Drosophila melanogaster: one gene and its partner. The protein of the gene in region 1 interacts with the protein of each later gene in a pairwise test. Each region holds a gene or a part of one and is shown on either strand. Other genes may lie near its edges.

Evidence for each region.
Region 2: the proteins of Zip99C (region 1) and CG34268 interact in a two-hybrid assay, tested with the Drosophila melanogaster proteins (one large-scale study listed by BioGRID).

Annotation. Positions count from the first base shown.
Region 1 is NT_033777.3:29,862,740-29,871,564, forward strand, and holds Zip99C (Zinc/iron regulated transporter-related protein 99C), read right to left. Parts: upstream 6,157-8,825; 5' UTR 5,794-6,156; intron 5,333-5,793; exon of another isoform or gene 5,251-5,332; intron 5,079-5,250; exon of another isoform or gene 5,005-5,078; intron 4,476-5,004; exon of another isoform or gene 4,441-4,475; intron 3,796-4,440; exon of another isoform or gene 3,777-3,795; intron 3,442-3,776; exon of another isoform or gene 3,362-3,441; intron 2,774-3,361; exon of another isoform or gene 2,661-2,773; 5' UTR 2,529-2,660; coding exon 2,318-2,528; intron 2,258-2,317; coding exon 2,150-2,257; intron 2,088-2,149; coding exon 1,674-2,087; intron 1,612-1,673; coding exon 1,456-1,611; intron 1,398-1,455; coding exon 1,219-1,397; 3' UTR 962-1,218; downstream 1-961. Other genes in the region: RpS8 (ribosomal protein S8), read left to right, coding at 46-457, 676-779; CG34133 (uncharacterized protein), read left to right, coding at 6,969-7,054, 7,111-7,315, 8,321-8,410, 8,500-8,638, 8,707-8,825. UniProt on the Drosophila melanogaster protein: Involved in zinc transport and homeostasis.
Region 2 is NT_037436.4:498,547-502,724, reverse strand, and holds CG34268 (uncharacterized protein), read right to left. Parts: upstream 1,761-4,178; 5' UTR 1,701-1,760; coding exon 1,689-1,700; intron 1,626-1,688; coding exon 1,386-1,625; 3' UTR 1,325-1,385; downstream 1-1,324. Other genes in the region: CG34267 (uncharacterized protein), read left to right, coding at 2,352-2,363, 2,427-2,648.

The DNA of each region.
Region 1 (8,825 bases):
CTCCCGTCTGTATGCCCGGACTAACTCTTGAACTCATTTTTTCAGCTTGGCTCCGGCCGCGTGCACAAGGTGCGCACCCGTGGTGGAAACACCAAGCTCCGTGCTCTGCGCCTGGAAACCGGAAACTTCGCCTGGGCCTCCGAGGGAGTGGCGCGCAAGACCCGTATCGCCGATGTTGTGTACAACGCCTCCAACAACGAGCTGGTGCGAACCAAGACCTTGGTGAAGAACAGCATCGTGGTCATCGATGCCACGCCCTTCCGCCAGTGGTACGAGGCTCACTACGTGCTGCCCCTGGGACGCAAGCGTAACCCCAAGCACGCCCAGAAAGAGGACGAGAACGACGTGCTGACCAAGAAGCGCAGCGAAAAGGTTATGAAGAAGTACCTGGAGCGCCAGAAGTACGGCAAGGTCGAGCAGGCCCTCGAGGATCAGTTCACCTCCGGCCGCATCTTGGGTGTGTATTCTTTCTAATTCATGATTAATGATTTTTGTTATAGTGATGTAAAAACCCTAGCGATCCAGCTACTTTATTGTGTTGATCTTGTTTTAAGAGAGACGCAAGCCTGTTGGGTGTGATTCTGCTTGTCATAGTTACTCTGATCAGACCACTAAACTTATACTTTTCCATTTACTGGAAGCCCCGCTCTAATTCCCTGTTATTTTTCCTTTCAGCTTGCATTTCTTCCCGCCCCGGACAGTGCGGTCGCTCCGACGGCTACATTTTGGAAGGCAAGGAGTTGGAATTCTACCTTAAGAAGATCAAGTCTAAGAAATAAAGGCACTAGATAAGCTTGCAAGACATGATTTGCAAACAAAAACGGAATAAAACAACTTGTTTTTTATAGGAAGTGCATTTTTCTGATTTTGTTCTTTAATTTTCCTGCTGACAAAGAAATGCAGCCCAAATAGTGGACGCTTTTGTTACCCAAATAAAGTCCAGATAAAAGATAAGAATGTTCGTGGATAGTGGAGGGCAAAGGACTCTCCCTTAAATGTCTATTGAATTTTCGTTTCATAAGTATGATACAGTAATACGTAATCATTAATAATAGTTTAAATATCATTCATATTGGCTATAATTACATAACGCAGACAGGATGTCGAATCCCATAAAGTACAACAAATTCATGTTAATTTAAAACTGCCAATGACAATCTTAGAACAAACTAAAAACTGCTTTCAATTTTCTTCTTATACTGCTGTCAGCTAAAGTTCCTAGTGTTCGAATAGCATGGTCATCACGGCCATTAACGCAATGCCAAATACCAGTGCTAGCAGCTGCTTAATGGACTCCTTGCGCTCCTCCTCCTTCAAGAGATCAGGTAATACTGTGACCAGAGCAATGTGCAGAAAGCCGCCGGCGGTGAACGGCATAATCCACGAAGTACGTGCCTCTGTAAATGTAAAGATAAGTTTGCTTGTTTGTCACACGGAGAGCCCATTTAAGCTTACCCATGGCCGACGTTACGCCGGAGCCTCCGATGGCCACCAGAGCACCGAGCAGGCCAGCTCCCGCCGTGAGTAGTTGCGCACGCGCGGCGTCCCAGCGACTGAATCCGGATCGAAGCAGGATTGCGAAATCCCCCACCTCGTGCGGAATTTCATGAACTGTATGTAGGGAAATAAGTGAGGAACTATCCTATGTTTCAATAGTATCTATAAGTACTTACGCAATATGGCAAAAGTGGCTAGAATGCCGTGTCTGAAGGACACCAAAAAGGATCCAGCCACGGCTAGACCGTGTGTGAAATTGTCAATTGAGTTGGCCAAGAGGTTCAGATAACCAGCCACCTTCTTCGGCTGTTCCTTCCTTTCCTTTGACTTCTGTTCCTGCTCGCGTAGGAAACAGACTTTACCTACATCTTCGATGTCGCAGGCGCCGCCACAACTCTCAGAGGTTTCGCCCTCTGGTAGTTGGCCGCCATGTCGACGCAACAGGCAGTTGGCTATCTCCACGCACTTGGGCTGAGGGTTCTCCTCGTCCGCGCTGGCATATCCGGAAAAGATTTTCTCCACGATCGTGAAGATCAGTATGCCGGAAAGTACCCAAAGGCCCGAGCGCAGGGATGGGTGACTAGAAGGATCTTTAGGAGGAAAACGAATATTATGGAGATGATTTCACAACTTGGATTTCCCCGCAACTCACCTTGATTATCGCCCTCCCAGGCTTCTGGCAACAGGTGAAGGAACACATCGCCCAGCAGACCGCCGACCGCGAAACTCAGAAGCACTCGCAGGAGTTTTGAATCTGCAGCTGTAGGGTGAGATGTGATTCAAGTTCAATTGATATACTTTTCGTACGCATGTGACTTACGATCTTTGTATCCCTCCTTAGCCATTTTCTCCTCCGTGGGAATGATGATCAGCGGGAATATGCCACTCAGTCCAATTACCACCGATCCCAGCAGGGAGAAAACCCATGGCGTGTACTCAAAGCTTTTGAAGTACTCGGGCATGTACTGGTCCATCAGGTTGGAGTATATCATGGCGATGTGTTCATCGAAGAAGCTGCTGTTCGTGGTCATTTTCGGCTGCCTTTTTACGGCTACTTATGCGCTGCTCTGTGCTGGAACTGGGTTGGGTTTCTTCAGTCACTGCTGCCTGCTCATGTCCAGTGACTTTCGGTGGAGTATGTGCCGTGATCGATGATGACTCGGCTAGTAAAGAAAATATAATTTAAATGGTTTAAGAAATGTCAGCACACACGTAAATTTTGATACAAATAGCCAGTTAAGCAAATGTTTCCCCAAATCCGCCACCTGGCAACAAAATCATTGAATAACTAGATGCGGTTCTTAGTATCAGACAGACGGTGATGCGAAAATCCTTTAGATATGGACAATGTCAGCCATAATCAATAAAGGGGCAGGGAAAAACTCTCTCAACTGCGCTCGTTGTCAGGTTCGATAAGCGAGTCTCTGTAAAATTTAATCATGGCAACTTAAGTGTGACTAGACGGCTTCATAGGGAACGGCAGTCAATCAAACTAAGACCATTGCCCGATAGCTACTCCATCAGGATGAGTAAGCGTGTCCTGCCTCACTATAACCAATAAAATATCAAATTGTTCGTTGTGGAACTTGTTACCCGTATCACAGCGAACCTGGTAGACTTTATCTAAAATGCAGGTACTTAAATGATAAATATATATTTGCCAATATGGCTTGTTCGAGTTCGAGCAATAATTAATTGGCTTTTTCCATAATTAATAAGCAATTTAGATGCAGTTAGTTAGTTTGAATGTGATTGCTTTCCAGGATTTTTTATTTTAGAATCTGCTGTACGATTAGTAGAAGAATTCTACTTGTAAATCAAACTTCTCTCGATCGTAAACTACTTTTATATCACTGCCACCAACCAAAACAGATTGTAAATTGGGCGAAAATTAATTTCCAAGCTCGATAACCGACGCTTCCAATGTGCAGAAACAGACTAAACGAATTTTCAGGAGACGCTGCTTCGGAACGCCCACGTCAAGATACTTTGTTTCCATTTGATTTCCGATTTGATGTGCACGATGCAGCTTAAACTGTTCACTTTGCCGCGATAAGATTACGATGGCGCTGGCACAATGGAGTGACATGATTTCGGCGGTTTTGCTAAGCGGCAATACTCCGCATGTGTATTGGGGAATCAAACTTGGAAGCGGACGAATGATGTCTAATCCCCGACAGAACGGGCAGAATGGGAATGCCTCGGAACTTCAGTAGCGAGATGCGAAATCAATCCGGTAAGCTATGGCTATACAATAACTATATACGTATATACTACACTCTTATCTTTCGCAGTGTCGTTGTCATTGAACTATCAGAAAGCAAATGAGCTAGATTAGATTTAGACATCGTGTAATTACTTGAGTTACCCAAAATATCTCTAAAGACTGAGACTAGGAGGCTGTATTAACTATCATTCAGTTCATCTGTTCCAATATTACAAATACTCTATGCGAACTATGACTGTTTCACGCTTTTATTGTTATTCTACTGTATTTGCCCTTTAAAGATTCGCAAAACAACAATAGCAAAGAGAGTCTTCTTGTTCAGATTCAGGTTTCTTTTAAATTAGTCGAAAATCGCTACTAGGAAGCCACTCAAGTTTGCTTTTACGGTTTGATCAGATGAGTAAATAATTCAATTTCGGCACAATAACTCGGGATTATCTGTTTAGCTGTTGCACTAATTGCTGTGTTTCTTGGGCGAGCCTTCACTGAAAAGACAGTTCAGATTAATTCCGGGAATCCTGTCAATTACACTCAGATAGTTAGTTAGTTATTCACGAATATGGCGAATCGCACAAGTACTTAATAAACATAATGTGGCACTATTTTGCTGGAAGACTAGAGGACAATAGATTCTTCTGCGATTTAAAGTTGATTTGTGGCGTGAGGTATTTGTATACTGCCAACTGTTAACACAATACCAGTAAACTATATCACACTTGAGCGTTGCTAATGCGGAAATTTATGCTCCAAGCTCCACAATTCGTGTGTTATCGCGTCGGTAACTGAGCTCGTTGTGGTGCAATTATCGTCTTCTTCGCCTTCTTATAGATGAATTGAAAAGAAAATATAAACAGGGGACTCCAAAGCTCGTGCTATAAATACAATTTGGCGTAAAGATGCAATTAAAAGAGTTGCTAGCTCGCCAATCACTTGTGAATCATTATTGTCGCCAGTAGGGCCGCAAACTTTTGAATGGATCATCAAAATGGCAGAGATTATTTTGCACGCTGCACTAAAACTGGGACATGGCGTAGTGAACATGCTTTGATTATCAATCAAAACGTGCGGGGCAAACAATCCGAATGAGAAACTTGGTCCCTTGGGTGATAAGGAGTGTGCCCGAGCAGATATAAAGAAAGTATAGATAAAGGGAATTCATCAACAAAGAATATTAAAGTGTATGGCATGGGAAAAAGGAAACTTGGTACATTCCCGAGTTTTAATCGAGCTTCAGCTTTGCTGCACTAGTCATAAATAGATTTGTCACCCTTGTAAATCACCTAGAACACCGAAGAAAGTTCTTTGTTCCGATCAGGGTACTATGTGCATATGTCTACACCCACAACCGAGCACTGAGTATCACATGGCTTTGAGTTTGATTAACCAGCATACGGAGAAGCAAACCCTTCGATTCTACATTATTAATAAACAAGATTGAAGCCGCGAAACCAGTTTGCCAAACAAGTTATCATTGTATTGTTGTTCAACAAAGTCTAGTCCATTTGTTTTTCTATATACATACATACATATATGTACCGCTGATAAAACGCAATACGCTCAATATGATTATAGTGTTCAGAGCACAGATTCGAGATTAGATTGAGTACTGTTCAAAATTACTCAAATATGGCCGCTATTAGTGACGTGCAGATGATAATCTTACACTAGGTTAGTTATGCGGCATATCAAGAGATCTATGCGGAAGTTGGAAGTTTGCTCAAAAGAAGTATCGTATCATGTACTTCTAAAAATTCAACACATTTTTCGAAAACGTCTCTGATGCTTTTATTTGAAACCGCACGATAAAACAATGGAATTATCTACAGAGAAACATATGTACTTTGTACATAACTGATAAGCAACACCAGCTGAGTCGATTTAAGCACTTATGTTTTCATCTTCTAGATCCTACATTCATGCATATAGTATATAGTTTTAATGGATTAGGATCTCTTTCACCACAAAGCGAAATGTCACATAATCATTAGGTGGCTGCCATTAAATACCAGACTTTGTCTTCGAGCCCGATTTCAGATAATCGGTTGGGATGGGTGTGCAGTTATTTTTACCGTTATTCAGCTGTAACAGGAACGGGTTAACGTGCTCTTATCACTTTTATAGCAGGGAATAAAACCCGAAACTTTCGATTTTTGCAGTGGCGAAATTGTATGATAAATTACTTTTCTATTGCGTAGTAGCGATCATTGGCACCCGATGCTTTTTTTACTGCGAAGTAATTGCGTGAATTTACGTTTATTTCGCCCGGGCTCTGCGTGGGTTAAACGTACGCCTGGCCTCGCCTAACTCGAAACACGGGCTTAATGTTGATGTCGTCGCTCCGCGCGTCGCTTCACTAACAGTTACAAGCTCGCCAAAAACACATGCATTTATACATTTGTTTACTTTGTTCGAGGGCCGTGCGGAAAATACAATAACAAAGCAATATGGTGCATTTCGATAGCGGTGGCAGTCCACAATCAAAAATGTCGGTTATCGATAACAGGTTGAATTTTATCTTAGCAGAGATCCCAACAATGGTGGGGGAGCTTGATATCAGCTGTGTGACTACCAGTGATCGATAATTAAATACCATAGTAAAATTAGGCACATATATGTAGAAATCCGACTTATGTAGAAAATATTTAAATGCCCCCTATTGCCTCAAATACGTTATTTTCAAAGCGAGATGTAGGAAATTAAAAATTTTGTATATATATATTTTCGATTTAATATTGGAATATAAACATAAAACATTAGGTTTTTGTATAAATTTAATACAGTGTATAAATTTAAAATACGCGCGGACTCTCGCCGCATTTTTGCGTGTCACGAGCAAGCACGACCAATAGCCCATCGCTAGTTCAATCGATTGCTTATTAATCATACTTGACGCAATCGAAATCATTATTGCATCTTTGACACCACTAGTATTTACGCGTATCAAGCGTAAAAACTCAATTAACAATTGATTAGGAACTAAATTAGCAGTATAATTATGTGTAATAAAACGCAGGCGATAGCAACATGTTAAATGCAGTGCATTCAGCGCTAGTGCGGCAGCGAGTGACGTCACACGAGTAGAAAGCAACAAAGCAACAACAACAAAAGACAGTGGGGCGCCGCAGCAACAAAAGGGAATCAATAACAAAAAACCATAGAGAAAATCGTAATTTGGTGGATAATTTGCATACGATTGGGTGGTTAGATAACGCCGACAACCCATCACAAACGCACAAATCACGAAATGAGTAAGCTGGAAACGGATTCGGACAGTTCAGAGGAGTTTTTCGATGCCGAGGACACTACGCCCAATCGCCATTCGACTTTGTGGTAGGTTCTTGTGGCTTACCCCGTAAAAATGTTTAATTAATCCCTGGCCATTTCAGTCGAAAGCTGCCGCCCGAGGTGGCCCAGGAGTTCATCTTTCCCGAGCCCGCCGTGAGAGTGAATGCCGCCGCCTCATCCGACAGCGATGCTACGCCCATTGGCGCTGGAACGCCCGCCACCCGGAGTCCCACTAATAGCCTGGGTGCCCGGCTAAAGCCGCAGGATGCAGGGGTCTTCGTTGAGCCCAAGCCCGTGATAGGACCTGTAAGTGAATGGGGTCCACATGGAGTGCTCTTACTTCCGTTTTGCTAGACCCAGTTATGATGTCATCTACTAGGGTAACGATCCATCATCAGTGGCCTTGGAACACCATTCCCACGTGTGAAAGCCCTCATTCAGCTCATATGTCTGGTGGTGTAATTTGTAGAAGGTTTACTACCATGTGAAGCTTAAATTTATGGCTAAATTTTTAAAGCGGTTAAAAACTGCGCTCTGTCCAATGTCTGTGATCATCATGTGCAGTTTTTTCATTTATTTTGTTCTATTTTAAACACTAGTGGATGAGATATATGTACAATATTAGGAACCATTCGTTTGGTAAAGCAAGTATATTTTTATGTTTAGGTCTTTATTATTGTTGTTCCTTATCTTTCCACATATAGATGGTCATATACCTACCATTTCGCGCCAACTTCCCATAGTTATTATCAATGCTCACAGCCATACATTTCTCAACCGCTCCCTTAGCGACATTTAAAAACTGTCACTGCCTTAGAAATTGATTAAAAACCGATATGATACGGTTTATGGAATTTACCTAGTCTTAATTAGCAAGAGAACATTTATTTCAAGGTGTAAAGATAATGGCAGGTTTTGAGGTACTGCATTTACCCCTATCACACGTTTTGCATCATCACTGAAAAAATTCGTTCATGATTACTTAGCAGTTGCACATCTGCCAACCTATGGCCACATTTGTTGTTTCATTTTTCATAATCCTGGGCAGGTGAACTGCAATTTTTTAGAATTGGGTGATTTTTAGTTCTTAATAGCCAAAAAGCACAATCTAATGAACAAAAACCAAATCACCCCCTTAATTTTGTGTCCATATTTGTGTTCTTTACTTTCATATTTTCTCCGCCTCATTTCGTAAATCCAACGAATAAAAAACAATACTCAACTTAAAAATGGAAACCAACTTAAACTCGAATCTCTACCAATGTTAATATGCATACGTTAAAAAAAATGACATAAATATATCGCATATAGTTGGGTAGACAGCGCTTTCACGAACTACGTCAGTGCATGCAAAACGATGAAGATGATAATCCAGGAAATACACTCACACCTGATTCTCAGGTATACATTTTTGTAATCTAGCCTGTTTGCTCAGCTTTCCGTTTGCCCAGCTTACCCACGTGTACTTATGATTTAAATTAAACTTGCAGAATAGCTCAACGGATGGCATTTTTACCAACCGTTCGACGCATCCGTTTAAGGTCATTGAGACAGATGCGATGAGCATACAGAGCATGACATCACTGGGTCGCGTGGGCCGAATCTTGGCGGGCAGCATTGATCCATCTGGTGAGTAGAAATCAGTATTTTCACGAAAACATAGCAGCCACTGACACTCTTAATTCATTTGCTTCAAGCTATAAGCATAGATCGCGAGTCCCTGGCCTCGTTGAATGCGCAACAGCAGAAGCAGCAGGCGCAGCAGCAACAACAGGCGCAGCCTACATCGTCTACCAGCTCCAATACTCCACCGAGC
Region 2 (4,178 bases), on another chromosome or scaffold:
GGGGGGGGGGGGGGTCTCTCAAGTTCAATTGAGTTTCACTTTCCTTCATAATTTAAATTAACAATTATAGCGGATAATTAACAAAATGAAAACAAAAGCATCGAAGGCAACTCCCCCTGAGCGGCTACGAAAAATATTATTACAAACTGTTGGATAATTTATCAAATGAGCTGCGGATAGGATAGGATTGGGTAGCTGGGCGACGATGAAGTCATTACCACAGACAAAAAAGAAACCACACAAAAGGAGAGACAGGCCCAACAAAAAGACGACGTCACATGTGAAGCGGATCAAATGATTTCGTCATAATCGAGCAGCAAATTACTATTTTTTCCCCCTAATAGAGTAATAAAATTGCCCAACTCTGGCCGAGAAATTTACTTTAAACTGAAAAGGAAGTGGAACCTGAATGGTAGCAGCAGGCTGAAAAACAAAGCTGAAACTGAAAATCGAAACCGAAATGAAATGTGGGGAAAATTAAGAAGAAAACGCTAACAATAAATCTTTTGGCAATAGAAAAAACAAAACCTGCCACAAAAAAGGCCCAAAAAGCCTGTTCACAAAATTGACTTTCGAACACAATTTATTTTTATATTTTTGTCTGCTTATTTCGATGTTATTTTTTTTTTTTGTTTTACCAAATCGCTTGAGAGTTTTTCTAGCCAGCGATTTAATAACCCGAATAAAGCCCCAAATAAAAAACAATGAAAAATTAATGTACGATCCATTCAGGTTCATCATCGACACGAGATCGAACCGCAACCGGGGAAAAAGCCAAAGGGAAAGGCGGCTGGCTCAGAGTGTTTGAAGCGGGCTGTAAGGCTTTGCTTTGTCGCCACTTTAATTGGCTCAAATTAAAGACGAGCTGGGATTGGGTTTTAATGGCAACGTCTGTCGGGTAAGGGGTGGTGGGAGGGGGGGAGGTGGAGAAGATGCAGCTGCAGTTTAGAGGCGTCACTTTATTCCGCTGATTAATGAAGAAATTTCCCCTGGAAGCTTGCCGCCTTGTTAACGACTTTATGTGTGACTATTCGCAAATAACAAAATGAGCGAGGTGAAATTAAATTTTACAAAATGTCCCATAAAATAATCAGTCAGCCATGGAAACCACTGGGGTCTGCGGACAACTTTAGTTGCTATAAAATGTGTAAAATGGAAAGTGCTGACCACGAAAGGGTGTTGGGTACGTAATTTTTACGAGAATTATTTCCTTGATGTAGGAAAAAACATGCATCATTTAATTGTAAGTATAAAAATTAAGCCAGTCCCGATGGCATGACCCAAAAGTTTATCCTCGCTCTATACCAGAAAATAAAGATAAGTTCGATTTGGTTGGCAATTTATTTATGTCGGGTCAATTTCTAATGGGGTTGTGCTACAATAATTTAACCATGGTAGATGTGGTGTCCATAGGTGGGAACAGCGTAGGACTTCAGCACAGGGACATGCTGAACCACTGGGACATTTTTCACCACCGGAACATGCTGCACCACTGGAACATGCTTCACCACCGGAACAGATTTCACCACGGGCACCACCTGGGCCACAGGAACCACTCCGTAGGAGGGCTCAATGTAACCAGGAGCAGCAAAAGCCATTGCTACCAGGGCGAAGATTACAGCGATCTAAGGAGATATTTTGTAATATGAAAAATCCTAAGGATTTACTTTATAATTTCGTGAACTTACAATGCGGAACATTTTGGTATTTTGTTGTGAGTTAAAAACTTTAACTTGTGGTTATCGAACGTTTGTGTTAGCCGGACGACTGTTGTTGATTGACCATCCGTGGAATCATTATATATAGTAGTTAGCACCTCAGCCGAAAATAGCCCACAAATGACTTCTGTTCGAACGCCACGCGCCAAACCAGTTTAATTATCTTAAATTTGGTATCTTCGAATAATGCGCATTCTATTTGGTATGAAACCATCTCCAGCGGCGAACTTCCCGTTATCGGTCGTTATTGCTTAACCTTTGGACATAATCCCCATTCAATGACTTCTCAATTGTTTGCTGTTTTTAGATCCGTGTGCTTATTATTGTTTACTTCCAAGACCATTGTCATTATATCGATCGTCTTCACGCGTTTGTGATGATCACCAAGAACCAAGGTCATGTCCACAAAAAAAGACCTATATGAGGCACCTTTGGGTCAACTGATAAATCCATTCTCTCAATTAAACAGAAGAATTATGGCCAAACACGTTTGCCCATTTAGAAGTTGTTATTGAAGTGATTTTTGGCTATATAAAGTAACTGATCCATTGGTCAGCATCACCAGTCGTCCTACAAGCATCCAAGTGACAATATCTCCAAGTCAAGTTTGTAAATTACTAAGAAAATACCAAAATGTTCCGCATTGTAAGTTCACGAAATTATAAAGTAAATCCTTGTGATTTTTCATATTACAAAATATCTCCTTAGATCGCTGTGATCTTCGCCCTGGTAGCAATGGCTTTTGCTGCTCCTGGTTACATTGAGCCCTCCTACGGTGTGGTTCCTGTAGCCCAAGTGGTGCCCGTGGTGAAATCTGTTCCAGTGGTGCAGCACGTTCCGGTGGTGAAGAATGTCCCAGTGGTTCAGCATGTCCCTGTGCTGAAGTCCTACGCTGTTCCCACCTATGGACACCACATCTACCACGGTTAAATTTTGGAAAGAGCTCAATCGATATCGCACGGGAATAAATAAAATGTTTATGCTTGTAAAAGGAATCATATTTGACTTACTTGTCTCAAATCAAATGCACTTCAAATGAGTTTACAACTTCTGTGATTTATTCGCAGTATTTGCAGTGTGTGCGGATTATTTTCTCATGTCCCGCCGAGTTTTTGTATCCAACAACCCATTAAGAGCTGCAACAGAATTTTCTTCGGTCTGGTCCGATCGGAAATTTTTACGCAAGCCGTAAATGCGCCAAAATCTGGAACACAAATACGTTTTTCTCTGTTTTCGCGTTAGGGGCTTTGTAGTTTATTTGGTGCGGATCGAGTGATAAAAGCCAAATGTGCGCCTCGTTCCAGGCACCCAAAAGATACGGAGATTGAGCAGTTGCGTGGAACACATTTGGCAGGCTGTTCGCTGGTGAATTGACTCTTTGCACCGACTGAAGGTGATTAATGGACGCCAAGAGGAGCGGAGCGGAGTGGAGTTCAGTTGCGAAGAGTTGAGAGTAGCCGTACGATACTTCTTAAACGGTAGTTAAAATCTAACTAACACGCGAGAGAAAGAGTTTGCGTTTGCAGAGTTGGCTGATGAAAACGCTTGCGGCTGGCATTGAAGACTTCTATAAAATGGAAAGGGGGAGGCTTTTCTTGCTGACCCACTTTTGGCAGACAGAAAAATGTATTTGCCTTTGCTGACTGGCTTGGCTGGGCACTCCAAGAATTGTTAACAGCAATTTAGTGGTTATTCGCTTCTTCTTCGGCTGCTAAGTGTATTTTATTGTTCGCCAATTGCTGTTGTTGTCTTGTTAACGCTTTTTATAGCCGCCTTTTGCTTTTCGGCCAACTCTATTTGTCGAGTCTTTCTCTCCATGCAGATGTATCCCACAGATACATTCATTAACTTGTTTGCAGTTACAGTTTCCCTGTTTCCCCTCGCCGGTGATTTATGCTATCGCCAGCGTTTGTTCGTATATTTAGACATTTCCTATGTGTTGTCACCTCAATTTTTTCCTGCACTTGCTCAACTTTTTTATTTTAATTTTATTTTTAGGCTAATTAAAATAATCAGGTAATTGTGCAGTTATGAGTTATGTCTCAAGTCGGCGGAGAAGAGGAAGATTGTGTGAACATGGCAGACCTCAAATCTCGTTATGACTATGAATATGCATTGGCGCTTGATGAGATCCCCTTCCCCATTTTGTGAAGAAGTTAAAGGCGTGCCCAGGCAATTAGTTTGGAGTTGGGCCCTTCCATAGAAACCTTCAGGGCTATTTTGGCACGTTGTCAGGAGGTGGAATGCTGGAATCAGGCGTTGACTTCGGGCGAAACTTGTTCTCCACACCCAGTAACCATTGAATATAACAGGGCTCTCTAGTTAAGATGGGCTCATAAATAGAATAAGTTACAGGCAGCTTTTGACTTTAATAGTTCGCACTTTAATGGATGTTGAAGGACTATGAACGAGTTCGATGAGATCATGATCCTGTTTTAACTATTAAAGTTTTTGAAAAGT